Linked DNA regions of Diceros bicornis minor. Each later gene encodes a partner of the first gene's protein in a complex. Links are inferred from orthologs where the notes say so. Each region holds a gene or a part of one and is shown in the gene's direction. Other genes may lie near its edges.

The links. Proteins that work in one complex are often made in the same cells at the same time.
Region 2: MYBBP1A (region 1) and DEK share a complex: the UniProt entries of both Homo sapiens proteins name them as parts of the B-WICH complex. The link is inferred for Diceros bicornis minor from reciprocal best matches to the Homo sapiens genes MYBBP1A and DEK.

The regions. Positions count from the first base shown.
Region 1 is NC_080757.1:13,301,473-13,308,870, forward strand, and holds the start of MYBBP1A (myb-binding protein 1A), read left to right. Parts: upstream 1-4,267; 5' UTR 4,268-4,291; coding exon 4,292-4,498; intron 4,499-4,692; coding exon 4,693-4,788; intron 4,789-5,516; coding exon 5,517-5,600; intron 5,601-5,698; coding exon 5,699-5,773; intron 5,774-5,865; coding exon 5,866-5,973; intron 5,974-6,946; coding exon 6,947-7,122; intron 7,123-7,275; coding exon 7,276-7,398. UniProt on the Homo sapiens protein: May activate or repress transcription via interactions with sequence specific DNA-binding proteins. Repression may be mediated at least in part by histone deacetylase activity (HDAC activity).
Region 2 is NC_080753.1:49,225,197-49,233,059, forward strand, and holds the start of DEK (protein DEK), read left to right. Parts: upstream 1-4,697; 5' UTR 4,698-4,807; intron 4,808-5,176; 5' UTR 5,177-5,185; coding exon 5,186-5,330; intron 5,331-7,863. UniProt on the Homo sapiens protein: Involved in chromatin organization.

The DNA.
Region 1 (7,398 bases):
CCCAAGAAGTTGCTCCCCAGATGGAGAAATCCAGATCCCTGAAGTGACCTCAGATTGAGCCTTGACCTCAGCCAGAGACCAGATGCTCCCACACCAGAACTAGTCACATGCTGAGCCCTGATCCAAGCCACAATGTGACTGTAGTTTTAATCCAAGCTCCACTGTCCCAGATTAGAGTCCCGAACAGGCCAAGGGATCCAGGGCTACATCCCCTAAAGGGAGGGGACCAGTGGGCACCAGGTCTCAGGCCTGTGGCCATGGCCCTAGGACTGGGCTCCTCCTACCTCACTGAGCTTCGGCTCCCGACAGGGTCCCTGCAGTAAGCGGCCCTGTGCCCTAATGGGGCAGGCTCACTCGCAGCCTCCCTGGCCCCGTGCCCTGCCCAGACCTGTTCTAGATTCCACACCACCCTTCCCCCAGGCAGCCTCCACCTCCCACCCACCCGGCTCCGGCCGGGCCTCCGGAGACTCAGCTGAGAAGGCTGACAGGCAGGAGGGCTGGGGCGGCACCGCGGGGCCATGGAACCCACTGCAGGGCCTGTGCACTACCAGAAGCTGCTGCTCTGGGAGCCGCGCTCGGAGTCTGAGGAGGAAGAGGAGGAAGAGGAGGAGACAGCAGAGCCACTCGTTCCCAACCCCTGGCGGCCCCAGGACTCCTCTGGGTGAGTCAGGCAGGGGTCTGGGCACCCGGCAACTCAGGCCTGAGCCCATAAGGGGGGCCAGACAACTTCGTGCTTGGCTCAGCTCCAGGAACTTTCTAGTTGAATGCGGGGAACCTAGGCTGCAGCCCCCGACCTGGCCAGCACCAGTCAATCCAAGGTCTGTGCTTCTGAAGGGACATTTGTACCAAGCCAGCCCTGCCAGCTGCTCTGTCAAAGTTCCCAGCCTCCACCCCCTGGTGCAAAAGGCACCTGCTGGGCAGGCTACACCTGGCTAGGCCCTGCTCCTCAGGCCTCCCTCCTGATTGGCTCAACCCTGCCTCTCCAACCTCCTCTCCAGAGATTCCTTCCCAGCTGTCCCCAGTTTCCCTATGATCTTTCCCATCCCCAGGTCTCCATCCACGATGTGCCCTCTGCCAGGAAGCCCTTCTCCTCAGTGAACTTGTATTCCTCTTGCAAGCAAGACCAAACCTTCTGGGAAATATTCTCTGGGTTCTCTGGGGCTCTTGGGTGTCCCCTGCCCCAGCCCCGGTTCAGGACACCCCCCTCTGCAGGAATAATGTTGGTGGTCTGCCCGGAGCCTGGGCCCGACTGGTTGCCGCCCTGCTGCTGCTGGCTGTTGGCTTCTCCCTGGCTGTGTGGCAACTCCACACCAGGGGTGGCTCTTCAGAACCCCTGGGCTCTGTGGCCCCTCTGCCCAGCGGGCACTCCCACCGCCCCGGCGTATACCACCATGGAGCCATCATCAGCCCTGCAGGTCAGTGCTGGGGGCAGCTCAGGGGAGTGGAGGAGCCGGGGTGACTGGTCCCAGGCCCCTCCCCATGACAGGCCCTTCTTTGCTACAGCCACGTGCTCCCACCTGGGCCGAGAGCTGCTTGTTGCTGGGGGCAATGTCGTGGACGCTGGAGTTGGAGCAGCTTTGTGTCTGGCAGTGGTGCATCCTCATGCCACAGGGCTAGGTCAGTGACCCACGACCCCAGACAGAGACCCCAACCCCAGGCCTGATGGGTGACCTGGAACTCAGACAGTCAGCGGCCCTCACCTCAGGGCTGGTTAGTGAGTAGGACCTAGGACTTGGGCAGTAGCCCCGACCTTGGCTGTGACCCTTGATCCCAAGTTTGTGTGATCTTGACCCCAGGCCTGGTTATTGACCCATCTTCAGGCCTAGTCAGGAACTCCTGACCCCAGGCTAAGTCAGTGACCCTGATCCCAGTCAGTGCCGCTTACCCCGGTGTGACCCCTTTCTCTCCCCTCAGGTGCCATGTTCTGGGGCCTCTTCCACAATAGCTCCTCAGGCAATTCAATTGCCCTGACGTCAGGTCCAGCCCAGATCCTGGCCCCCGGCCTGGGGCTGCCCTCGGCTCTGCCTACCCTGCGCTTGCTGCACACACGCTTCGGCCGCCTGCCCTGGCCACGCCTGCTGGTGGGCCCCTCCACGCTGGCTCAAGAGGGCTTCCTGGTAGACACAACCCTGGCCAGGGCTCTGGCAGCCCAGGGCACGAAGGGCCTCTGTCCACTCCTTTGCCACACTGACGGGACCCCCTTGGGCCCTGGGGCCCGAGCCACCAACCCAAAACTGGCGGCCGTGCTACACAAGGCAGCCCTCGCCCCCACCCCAGACCTTGCTGGGGAGGCCCTACTGAATCTGCTGGCCAGAGACCTGGGGATGGAGGGACCCTCAGCAGGGCCCAGGCCCACCCTGGAGCCAGCACTGCAGCTCCCTGTGCCCCAGGGCATCCTGTTCACCACCCCCAGCCCCTCAGCTGGCCCAGAGCTGCTGGCACTGCTGAAGGCAGCCCTACACTCCGGAGGGCCCAGCCCTGACCCCTGCCCACCACTCCTACAAGCTACTGTGACCCCCGGGAGCAGTGCCCTGGCTACCGTGGACAGCAGCGGCTCTGTGCTCCTTCTCACCTCCTCGCTCAACAGCTCCTTCGGCTCTGGACACCTGTCCCCAAGCACCGGGGTTCTACTCAGCAACCTTGTGGCCAAGTCTGCAACTAGTGCCTGGGCCTGCCCCCTCATCCTTCGTGGCAGCCTGGATGACACAGAGGCCGACGTGTTGGGGCTGGTGGCTTCAGGGACCCCCGCAGTGGCCAGAGTCACGACTCGCACCCTGCTCAGCCACCTGGCCGGGCCCCAAACCCAGGCCCAGCAAGGACAAACAGAGAGCCCCAGCATTTGTGGCCAAGGGACCCTGCTCCAGGTGGCAGCACATGCAGAGCATGCCCACGTCTCCAGTGTCCCCAATGGCTGCTGCCCCTTCCAGGGGTTCTAAGCGGGGAGAGTGTCTGACAGGGAATGGGGGGGTGGGGTCTCAAGCCTGGACGCAGGGGCAGAGCAGGCCCAGCAGCCATGGAGTGCATAAAAGTGTGCATCGATGATGTGTTCATTGCTGGCTCAAGCCCTCAACCTCTGGCCTGGTCAGTTACCTGGACTAGAGTTCTGGCTCTTTTTTCATCTAAGGAACCTGAAGATAATAAGGAAGGGGCAGCAGGGCCTGGGGCCAGCCCCGAGTTCAGATCCAGCTCTGGGAAGGACAGGGGGAAGAAAGCCAAGCCCCGGCTGGGTTCTGGGCCCCACGGACAGGGCAGGCAGAGCCTGGAGTACTGCTGGCATCTCCGTCCTCCCCTTCAGGCCACCCTCTGCTGATCTCCCTCAATGGGCTGGAAAGGAAATAAAGATCACGTCTCCTGGATGCCATGTGCCATTCCTGCTTCTTGTAAAATTTCCCTTCAGCCTTTGAGGTGCCTGGTGTCAGGGCTTCCCCCATGGGCAGCACAGCAGACCCACAGCCAGAGAGGCAGAGCCCGGGCTGGTGTCCTTCAGCTCCCCCCGCTCTGCGCACCTCCTGCCTCCTGGGGCACCATACATACAAGATAAACCTCTTACTCTCACTTTCTAAAACAGACAGCAGAGCAAGGGAGGGGTTGAGAGGGTGTCCCTGGGTACAAAACCGGCTGGAGCTGGGTGTGTGGAATTTACAGGCCGAGTTTAGCCCTGACCTCCCCCCTCTCCCAGAGAGTGGGGGCCTCTCTGGACCACAGCCCTCCAGAGACAGCTTCTCAAGTCAAGAAGCGGGGGTGCACTCCTCCCCCCACTGTAAAAGGCATCTCTCATTTAATGGAACTCTTGATCCCACCACCTCCACCTCCCCCCCACCAAAGAAAGTTCTTCCCCAGCTCAGTAAATGGTACCACGATCTGCGCGGTTATTTTAGCCCCAAACCTGCCATCCCTCTCTTTTCCTCTCCCCCCAACATCCATCACCCCCTACCGGCTCCAAGTTAGCTGGAACCTGGCCTGTTCCTGTGTTACCTTGGCCAATCCACCACTGTCTCTGTCCTTCCTGCTTCTGCCTTTGCACTCCTACAGTCCATCCCCCACACAGCGACAGAATAATCTTTTAAAAATGTAAATGGAATCAAGGCTTGCGCTTGCACAAAACCCTCCAATGACTTCCCATCACGCTCAGAATAAACCCCAAACTCCTGGTCTCCCGGAGTGAGAGCATAAGAACCGCGGCCGGCCCAGCCCCCTCCGGGCCCCGCCTCCCAGCCGACCCAATCCAGTGCGCATGCGCCGCGACCTGACCTGGAAGAGGCTGTCTTCGGAGCCCACGTGTTCGAGGAGCATGGCGGAGATGGAGAGTGAGGACGTCGCAGAGACTATGTCCCCGGGGGGAGCGACGAAGAGCGGCGCCCGGCCTGCCGACCGCCATGGTCTGCTGAAGCACAGCCGCGAGTTCTTGGACTTCTTCTGGGACATTGCGAAGCCGCAGCAGGAGACGCGGCTTGAGGCCACGGAGAAGCTGCTGGAGTATCTGCGCACAAGGCCAGAGGTATGGTGGCGGGGCCTGGGGCAGGGGACTGCGTAGATCCCGGCACAGTTGTGGCGGCGGGCCCCAGGGGTTGGGACGTGGGGCACGTGGTCGCGAACCTGGATGCCCAGCTGAGCGCGATCGGGGTGCGGGGGTGGGCGGGTGCGGGACGATTCTTCTCACTGGTCGACCGGAGGATGCCCTTGGTTCCGCAGGGATCCGAGATGAAGTACGCCCTGAAGCGCCTCATCACTGGCCTCGGGGTCGGGCGAGAAACCGCCCGGCCTTGCTACAGTCTGGCCCTGGCACAGGTGAGGTGGTGGCTCCGGGAAGGAGCCTAGCCGTGCTGGTCAAAACGGTGTGGGGTGAGGAGAGCAGATGTCTCAGCTGCAGAGGAAGAGGCACTGGTCTGAGGGAGAAGTTGGGGGTGGCATCTGAGCTGATGGGAGGCGTCCCCACGTGGAGGTAGAGAACGTGTGTGAGCAGGCCTGTCAGCAGAGAAGCCCAGGCAGATGGAGTGGGAGCTGGAGCAGGTTCTTTCTTGTACACGATTGATCGGCCTCTTAGATACATTTACTGGGAGTGGTAAGCTTTGTGGGGGGTGGGGGGTTCCCTTATCTCTGCAAGGTTCAGGGCCCTCTCCCCCCACAAGGAGCACGAGGCTGAGGAACGTGGACAACTGGAAGGGCGATAAAGATCCAGTGCTTTAGGATCAGCCTGGGAGGACCTCAGAGCAGGCTGTGGGGACAGTGTCTGGGAATCTCAGTGGAGGGATCTAGGGACCAAAGGAGGTACTTTCTGAGCCCAGGGGGGCATGGGGCAAGGAGGCAAGATTCAGCTGCATTCAAGCAGCAGAGTTCATCATCAGCGGTGCTCAGAGGGGAGTGAGCAGCTTCAGAGGCATCCTTGGAGTGGGAGCAGGGGCCCCAGGCCTCTGGGCAGAAGTTGAAGGGAGAAGTGGGAGGGGGTTGAGTCCACTGGAATGTGGCTGGACCACTCCTCTGAATCCCTCTCTCCCTCCTGCCACAACTCCTGGCAGCTGTTGCAGTCTTTCGAAGACATACCCTTGTGCAGCATCCTGCAGCAGATACAAGAGAAGCATGACCTGCAGAAGGTTAAGAAGGTGAGAGTTAGTGGCCCCAGGGGGGTCAGCAGCCCTGCCCTGGCTGGAGTGGGGAATACTCAGGCCCTTCTCACCGGTGTGTGGAATCCTTTTTCTAGGCAATGATGAGACCTGCTCTCTTTGCAAACCTGTTTGGAGTGCTAGCTCTCTTTCAGTCAGGCAGGCTGGTGAAGGTAAGAGCTTTGGGAGTACAGCGGGTAGGGGGACAGGCTTGGGGGGCAGTGGCATGCCCTGCTCATACCCTCTCCCCCTCTGTGAGTACCAGGACTCGGAGGCACTGATGAAGTCGGTGAAGCTGCTCCAGACCCTGGCCCACTACTACAACCACTTGCAGGAGCAGCCCCAGAAGGCCCTGGTGGACATCCTCTCTGAGGTACGTACGGGCTGACCAGCTGTGGGACCTCGGGTAGCGCTACGTGTTATAGAAACATGGAGAAGGCTCAGTTCATGCTCTAGAGCAGCGCTAGCCCATAGAAACATAAAAGTATGTAACTTGACATTTTTAGTAACTACGTTAAAAGGTAAAAATAAACAAGTGTAGTTAGTAACAAATTTCAGTTAACCTAATATCTCTAAGGTATTATTTCAGTATGCAATCAGTATAAAAAAATTGTAGAGATGCGTTACGTTTTTTGTTGTATTAAGTCTCCAAAACCCACTGTGTATTTTATGCATACGGCACATTTCCATTCAGACTTGCACATTCCGAGTGCTCAGTAGGCACATGTGGCCAGTGGCTGCCATATTGGGCAGTGCAGTTCTAGAACAGTGCCTGGCATGTGGCAAGTATATTAAACACGTTTGCTGTTGTCTGGGGCAAAGCTGACCCCTCAGGGGCCCCCACTGCCCTACTTGAGAAATGGAGGTAGGCTGGTACCCAGAATCCTTTGCTACTGAGGAAAAGACGGGGACTGGCACATCCTGGGCCAGGGCTCTCTGCGCAGCCCGGGCTGCAGAAGCCAGAAGAACCTAGATTCAAATCCTAGCTCTCCATTTGGGGTTCCTTGTGTAAGAAATGGGCTAGTCCTGAAAACCCAAAAGAGGAATAATTAAAAGGGTAGCCCTGGGCCAGTTGGCATCAGCGGGGTGTTTGTTGAAAGCCTAGCTTCCTGGGATGGAAACCCAGCTTCCTGGGACTTGGGAATTTGAGCTTTTTAACAAATGCCCTCTGGTGATTCTGATGTCCAGCAAGGTGGATTGTGGCTGTGCCACCTCAGGCTGGCACTGTGCCAGGGGCCTCACAGGAGCCTGGCAGGTAGACCAGGGCCCATAGGGCTCACTCCACAGGGAAAGACAAAAGGTGCCGTGAGGAAGCCACCCTTCATCAATCCGTCTCCCCACCCCAGGTCCCAGAGGCCACGTTGCAGGAGGTCCTGCCGAAGGTCCTCAAGGCCGACTTGAATTCCGTACTTGGCTCCCCTGAGCACCTGCAGCTCTTCCTCCTGGCCCAGCAGAAGGTGCCCGCAGAGCTCGAGAAGCTGATGGGATCGGTCAACCTGTTCTCAGACGAGAATATCCCCAGGTGTGAGGGAGTTGGGCGGATGGGCTCTCCCTGGGGCCGCAGCTGGCCATCAGCAGGTTCGCAGTGTGGCCTGGGGGTGTCCCTGCTGCCCCAGGCGCCCTGGCCGTTCCTCTTTGGTGGCTGCCCCCTGAGTCCCCTCTGCCCCCTCCGCAGACTGGTGAGCGTCCTGAAGACAGCTGCTGCCTCTGTGAAGAGGGAGCGCAGGCTGCCCACCGTGGCTCTGGACCTGCTCCGCCTGGCGCTTCAGGAGGACAAGTTCCCGCGGTTCTGGAAGGA
Region 2 (7,863 bases), on another chromosome or scaffold:
CCAAAAGGGGATGCATTTCAATTAAACAAATATTTTTAAAGTATTTACTATGTGTCAGGCACTGTGCCAAGTTCTGGGAGATAATAATAAACAGCATGGACATAGTCTCTGCCCATGAAGCTTACAGTCTGGGAAAGATAGAGATGTGTGTGTAAGAGCTAGATATGTGTATAAGAAAGAAAGATATATGTGTGCAGTGTATGTAAAAACTTCTCAAGGCAAAAATGAAAAAAAAAAATTAAGAATCAGCATTTTAGTATTTCCAAAATAAAACCAACAGATATTTTCAAACACATCCCTTGTTCATCCTAATTGTACTTTATCTGGTTGCAATTATCAGCCTCTTCTGGGCAGAGATAGCAATGCTCACCAACTATTCCATATGTGCCCTCACATTTTCTAGATCCTTTGCAGTTAGGAGGGGTCATATGACTGATCTGGCCACTGGCCAATGAGCAGAATCATAGAAGAGCAGGTATGAGTTCTCATCCAGCTCTCTTCCCCTACCACCGTGAACGCCAAGGACTTGTGTGGAGATGGGGGATCCAGAAGATCAAAGTAGCTGAGACAATGAGTAAACCACATGAACGGAGGCCCTGGGGAGTTGTCTGAGCTGACAGAGAGCTTTATAGAGCGAGAAATAAACTTGCTGTTAAACCAAACTGTTGAACTGCTGTTAAATAAACTTTTGCTGAAATAACCTGTCCTTTCCTAATACACCATCTCATCATATCAAACAAAAAAGGTTCTGAATCTTCATAACAAAAGTTTATTTTGGTTTCCATTCATTCGGCAAACACTTATTGACCACCTACTATGTGTTAGGCACTCCTTTAGGTGCTAAAAATACCATGATGAACAAGACCAAATCCTCCCAGCTACAAGGAGCTTACGTTTTAGTGGAGAAGACAGACAATATACAAATAAATTTTTCAGGTAGTGATAAATACAACAAAGAGAAATCAAGACCTTGCTTCTTGATCCTGCCCCATTTTCACTGCCTCACCCCTCTCATGTCCTTACCTTCCTTACTCAACTCAGATTCTATGCTCTACCATTATATTCATCGTCCTGCCCATATCCTCAACTCACCCTCCTCTCCTTCCTTCATCCTTGCCTGACAAAATCCCAACCTGGTTAAATCCAAATCTTTGCCATCTTCACACCTCTTCCCAGGTAGCTGAATATGGCTACAGAAAACCAATCATGCTGACTGGTCTCCTTTTGACCTCATGACTAATCTCACTGGGTCCTCCCTGCAGCTTCCTGGCAACCCTCCTACATTCCCCAATCCATTTCTCCCCCACTCTCCTACATGACTAGCTCACATTTCCTCTCTCCTGAAACCTCCAACAGTCCGCTCCCATACTCTCTGTCAATGATTTTGCTCCTAATTTCACTGAGAAACTTAAAGCAATAAGAACTTAAACTCCAACTACATTTGCCAACCTCCATCCAGCGTCTGTACCCATATCCCCTGTCTTCCCGCCTGTTACTGTGTAGAAACTGCCCACTGTCCTATCGAAGGACAATTCCTTCACTTGAAGACTAGACTCCATCTCCTCTTATGTCCTGTGGTAGACATGGAGATGTGCCACCCAGATGCCCAGCTGCAGAGCCCGCAGTCAGCAGACAGCCCCCATCTGTCAGCTCCCTCAGGATCTGCCACAGCTCTGGAGTCACTTCACCAGAGGTCATGCCCTTCCTGGCACAGCTTGCGGGCAGTGACTGAGCAAGGCGGGGCTAATAAAAGCCCAGCCAGGCAGGACACTCTGGAGAGCAGTACTCACTCCAGAGCTCCCCTCAGGGTGGGCTGAGGCTTTGTCACATCAGCTTCACAGTGTGACCTCTTCCTCTGGCCAATCTGGCTTCCTCTCCCTTCCTTTAAGAGGTATTGATCCCTAAGAAACATCTGGTACCCCATATTCTGCTTCAGGATGTGCTTACAGAGAACCAACTTGACATACCTACTTTAGGTCAGCTCCAGCTACTGTCCTTTCCCTCTCTTCCATCATCAATTTTCCCCACTCTACTGATTCATTCCATCATCATATAAACATACAGTAATAGCTCCCTTCTTAAAAGACAAACTCCCTTTACGCTACTAGTCCATTTCTCTGCTCCCCTGAACAGCACAATTCCTAGAAAGAGTGTCTGAATCCATTCCTTGCCTACCTGTCTCTCTACATCCCCACTCCTGGCACCTTCATACTCACCATTCCACAGAAACAGCTCTTGTCACTGTCGCTGATAACATCATTGTTATATCCAGTGGTCAATTCTCAGTTCTCATCTCACTTGACCTTTTAGCAGCTTCTGACCCAGTTGATCATCGTCTCCCTCTTAGACACTTCTGAATCATCTGGCTTCTGAGATACAACTTTCGCTTGATTCTCCTCCCACTTCACTGGCAACAGCTGCTCCTTCTCATCTCCTTTGCGAGTTCCACTTCCTCTCCTGAACCTCTAAACACTAGAGAGCTCCAGGGTACAATCTTGACCCTCTCCTCATCTCTACCGATATTCACTCTGTTAGTGATCTCATCCAGTCTCAGGGCTTTAAATACCATATACATGTTGACAACGGCTAAATTTATATCTTGAGCTAAAGCTTCTTCCCCTGAATGCCAGACTCTCACATCCAACTGCCTATTCTGAATCTCCATTTAGATGCTAACAGGAAGCTTAAACCTAACACATCCAAAACAAAACAACTGATCCCCTTCCCCAACATCCCTTCCCTGCTCCCACCCAAAAAAGCCCTGCCCCCCACTAACCCCAGAGAACTTCCTCATCTCAGTAAATAGCTACTCTGTTCTGATTACTGAACCAAAAACTCAGAGTCAACATTGACTTCTGTCTCTTACACCCTACATCCAATACTTTAGAGAACTCTTTAGAATATATCCAGTCTGTCTCCACTGCTCTTATTTACTTAAGATCTCTTATCAAATGTCATCTTATTAACAAGATCTCCCTTAATTATCACAAATATGTAAAATAAAATCCCATCCACTCTACTGGTATTTCCTGTCTCCTTTAACCTGCTTTACTTTATCACTATTTGTCATACAATATATTCACTTGTTTATTTGTTCATTGCCTCAACTAGAATGTAAGCATAAAGATGGCAGGGCTTAGTCCCGCTCTCTAGCTCCTAGTGCCAGGCAGAGTAGGTGCTCAATTAATATTTTTGAGTGAAAGAATGGAAAAGGAATAGTGATGGCCTTGGGGGAGAAGCACTTGAGCACAGAAGCAATGATGTGAAGGTGCAAGACATTTGACGAATTCTGTGGGAAGGGCAGAAAAAAGTTAAGTGGAAAGCCCAAAGGTAGGAATGAGCTTGGCTTTATGGGGGAACATCAAAGGCCTGCGTGGCTGAAACAGCCAATGGTGTCAGACAGATGAGATCAGAGATTGCCAGCAACTATATTACATAGCACCTTGTAAATCATAAGTATTTTGAATTTTATTCCAAGTATGATGTGAAGCCACCACAAAGTTTTAAGCAAGAGAGTATCCAATCTGATAATTTTTTTAAAAAAATCACCTTGGCTGCTGTGTGACTATTGGCGGGTATGGGCGGCAATGTGGAAACCAGCCAACCAGTGAGAGGCTGTGTTGAAATACAAGCAAAAAAAGAGAGTGAGCAGGACTTGAGCGCCATCAGCAGAGTGAGAAAGGGTACAAAATTTGAGGGTAGAAATAATAGGATTTGCTTGTTTTGGAAAGAGCACAAATGGAAAAAAACAAGATTCAAAGAAAATGTCTAATTTTTGCCCTGCAATCTGGAGTCTATTCAGGCAAACTTAACGGATCACATTTCCATTAAGTCCACTGAATAAAAGCATCCTTTGGGCCGCTAGTGGTTGAGGAGTTGGGAGAAAATGCAGGGAATCACACACAGAAAGGGGGAGCATTTGAAGGGGGAAAAGCATCGCGTTCAGTTTTTGAAATGTTGAGTTTAAAACACCGTGGAGCCGGCCTAGGACTCTGCGAGAGAGGTCTGGACTGGACAATACCGTTCTAATACACACACACACACACACACACACACACACTTTCCCCCTACAGGTCAGGAAATCTATCTCTGTCTCTGGTGACGTGAACCTTCAACGTGTTAGGGTCTTTTTCTTCACCGTGCACCTTACAAGCGCTGGGGTCCTCAGAAATGCAGCAGATTCGGAGTCACCACCAGCACGGTCTCTGGGACCTAAACGAGATCGCTCATTTAGTAATCCCCCCACCTCGGTGAAATACTGCAGACAGCGACTTCGAGCTTTGGAAACTTCTTCCCGCCGCCCGCCCGCCCCCTCCCCGGCCCGTGACTGCTCCTCTTTTCCGGGAACGAACCGTGGAGACAATACACACGCAGGCCCCCTAGCGTTCTTCCGTTCAGCGCCGCCAGGCCGGCCCTCCGCCCGGGACGCCGCCTGCTCGCTCTTCCCGGCCGAGCGCCGGCCGGACGCCGGACGCCCGACGCAGCCCGGAGCGGGCCCCGAGCGCGCGGCCCCGGCGACCCCTCGCGGCCCCGCCCGCCCGGGCATCCCGAGGAAGCGCCCGGCCCGCCCCGCCTCCCCCACCCCGCGCGCGCCAACTCCCAGCTCGCGGCCCTGATTGGCCGCCGCATTCCCGCTTTCCTTCCCGAACCGCCATTTTGAAAATCTTGTTGATTCTGGGGAGCAGAGAGCGCGGCGCGAGCGTCAGGCCAGAGAGCGGCCCGCGCGCCTTTTCCTCGGCGCCCGCCGCCGCCTCTCGGAGCCTCCTTGTGCCCTCGCGCGCCAGGCCCGCGGCGGCCGGGACCCGCGGTGAGGGCCGCGGCGGGGGAGGGGAGGCCGAGAGGGCCCCGCGGGGCCCGCCGGCACCGCCGCGGCCATTTGGACGGCGGCCTGGGGCGGGGGAGGGGACGCGGCTCGGCGGGGCGGTGGGAGGGGCGGCGCGGCGCCCGCGCTTTCCCGCGGCGGGAATGCCCGGACGGCGGGCGGAGCGGGAGGGAAGCCGGCCCTGGGGACGGAGCGCCGCTGTCCCGGCTGCGGGAGGCGGCAACTTCAAGGCCGGGGTTCCCGCGGCCCCCGGCTTCCTGGGGCCGGGAAGGCTCGGCTGAGTCGCGGTGGCCGCCCCGCCCCTCCCGCCGGAGGCGAGGGGACCGAGGCGTCTGGCTTCCTCCCCGCCCGCAGGTCGGCAGCATGTCGTCCGGCGCTGCTGCGGAGGGAGAGGGGACCGCCGCGCAGCCCGCGTCTGAGAAAGAACCCGAGATGCCCGGCCCGAGAGAGGAAAGTGAGGAGGACGACGAGGACGAGGAGGAAGAGGAGGAAGAGGAGGAAGAAAAAGGTGGGGAGGAAGCCGTGTCCCTAGTGATGCATTTGACGGAAGACAGTTTTCTTGCTCTCTTTGCGCTTAGAGACGCTAAATCGGAGTGGTTTTCAGCAAGAAAGTTTGCGAAATTTATAGGGTTTTGTGTTGAGCAATAGCAGAGAATTAACTTTGTGAATTCTAATTTTTAAATACTCGTTAGTGTTGTTACGTGTTTGGGAATGCAGTTGCCGTCTCGCCGGCAGCGTATGGTCAGAGCATCTTATTTGACAGAAAGTTCGTAAGTTTCAGATCTGCTTTTTAAGACTCTTAGGCTTTGAAGTTACTAAGGTAATGTTTTGCTAACTTAAGTACACCTCTTTTGCTTTTTGAAGTGTTGTAAGATCTGTAATGAAACCACACGTTGAAACTGAAAGGAGTTATTAATGGTAGTCCTGGAAATATTTTAATAGTTTTAAGATATTGGGTGGACCTCAGCAGAGGTTTTTTTCAGAGGCTTCGGGGAGTTACTTTCACGGGGAAACACCGGTGAAAGCTGTTGCTACTTGTGAAAGTAGGTAAATAGGAAAGCGATGAACTCTGAAAGAAAGTTAAATAGGAGCTCAGAGAAGTCTCGGTTTTGTAGTTGAGAGCAGTGTTAGCCATCGTTTGACTGGAGGCGTGAAACAAAACCTTACGGAATTAAGGGGGATTAAGGAGTGCTACTGCCTTGGTTTATTCAAGATGCACAGGGCAGTGCCTCTTTGAGATATACCAACTTCCTAAGATGTTTCCAACCTCATAGGACTCCATATCACAGATTTTAGCATTCTTTGATGGTATTAGTCTACTCTAGGTTTATTTTATGTATGGCTACAACTCAGCCAAACTTGGGAAGAGGCCTGAAGTTTTCTTCCCAAGCCCAGGTATAACTGTCAATTTATTTTAGACCTAAACCAGCCCCTGGTCAGCATTTTATAAATACAATCTGGGTTGAGAATATGTGGTATGCCTTTTGTTTGTTGAAAGTGGTAGGCGCTCTAAGAAGGGAGCCTGCCCACGTTTAAGTGCAAAAACACCTAGAAAAAAATATAAATTATTTTAAAATTGTTCATAACGCAGTAACTAAAAATTGACTGCAGTATCTCGCTACTAGTCCAGGACTTTTTCAGCACTTTTTTCTCCAATTTTTTGTTTGTTTTTTCGTCTTTTTTAAGACACGGTTTGGATACCACAGAGATGATGAATTTCTTCATGTTAGGAAAAAATTATAGGAGTCATGTAAAAATACTATAAATGGCCAATACAGTAATGGTTGGGGGACTGATGGTGGTTCAGATTGTGATTTTTTTTTAACGTGAAAAATTTTTAAAAATCCCCGAGCAGTTCTCTGATTGTTCTAATATATTATTATATTTCCTTCATTTGAGGTGTTTGTGGAACGACTAAAATCATGAATGTTTTTATCCTGCTTAGCCCTGAAATTTTAACTCTGCTACTGAGACGTCATAGAAACCAGGCAATGAAGTCCGTGCCAAATAAGGCATGGAATTGACTTAACTTGGCAGTGGTTTTGGCAGGGGTGTGGAGGGGAGATGCCTGGTAAAAGATGACTCCTAGGTTTCTGCCTTTGACAGCTGGGTGGATAACATTAGTATTTTCTGAAAAATAGAATTCATGCAGGTGAGGGAGTTTGGAGATGATTGTGACTTATGTTTTGGATGCATTGAGTTGGGTGCCTGTAGGACATGAAATGGAGCTGTCCAGTTGGCAGCCTTGTTAGTTGATCTGCCGCTCAGGAGAAGGCTCTGGACTGAAGATAGACCAGGAAAGTCCTTGGCTTATGGATGGTAATCAAAGGCAAGCAAATGGTTTAAATCCCTTAGGGAAAGGAAGCTGAGTGATAACAGGTGTTGCTTCCAAGTGCTTTGTCTCCATTCCATACACGATTGCCAGAATATGCCTTCTAGAATCCCTTTCTCCTTGCTAACTCTTTCTGTGCAAGTCCTTACATCTGCAAATCTTACCTATCTTTCAAAGCCAGCTCCAGTGTTTTGATCCTTTTTCTCTAATACAAAACTAATTACTCTGTCATCAACTCACAGAACTTGTGTGTCTTTCTTAAGGTGTTTTATCATCTACTTTGGATTATAATATTTGTGTCTCATCACTCCCAGTAGACATGATCTATTCCAAGATACATTCAGTGTCTTAATCATCTGTTCATCCCCCCTTAGTGTCTAGTGCAGCTTTGCACAAAACCTTCAGTCAAATGAACGGAAGGACCTCCAACAGTATAGTGTTCTCTTATTTATCTGACTTTATCTCAGTCAGTAGGTAAATGGTTTTAGATACATCAAGGTTAATGTTTTAAGTTTTAAAGTATATGTTGTATATTTTCCAGCTTTTTTTTTTTAAGCAGTCTAGACTAAACAGAATTTAACTTTTTTAGAATGATTTATTACCATTGTTATGAACATCAGTTATTAAACTACAGGGTAATGCCCTCCCAGTTGATTGCAGTAAATGTCAACTTGTAGAATTTTACCCTATCCATAGCAACTCCAGGCTG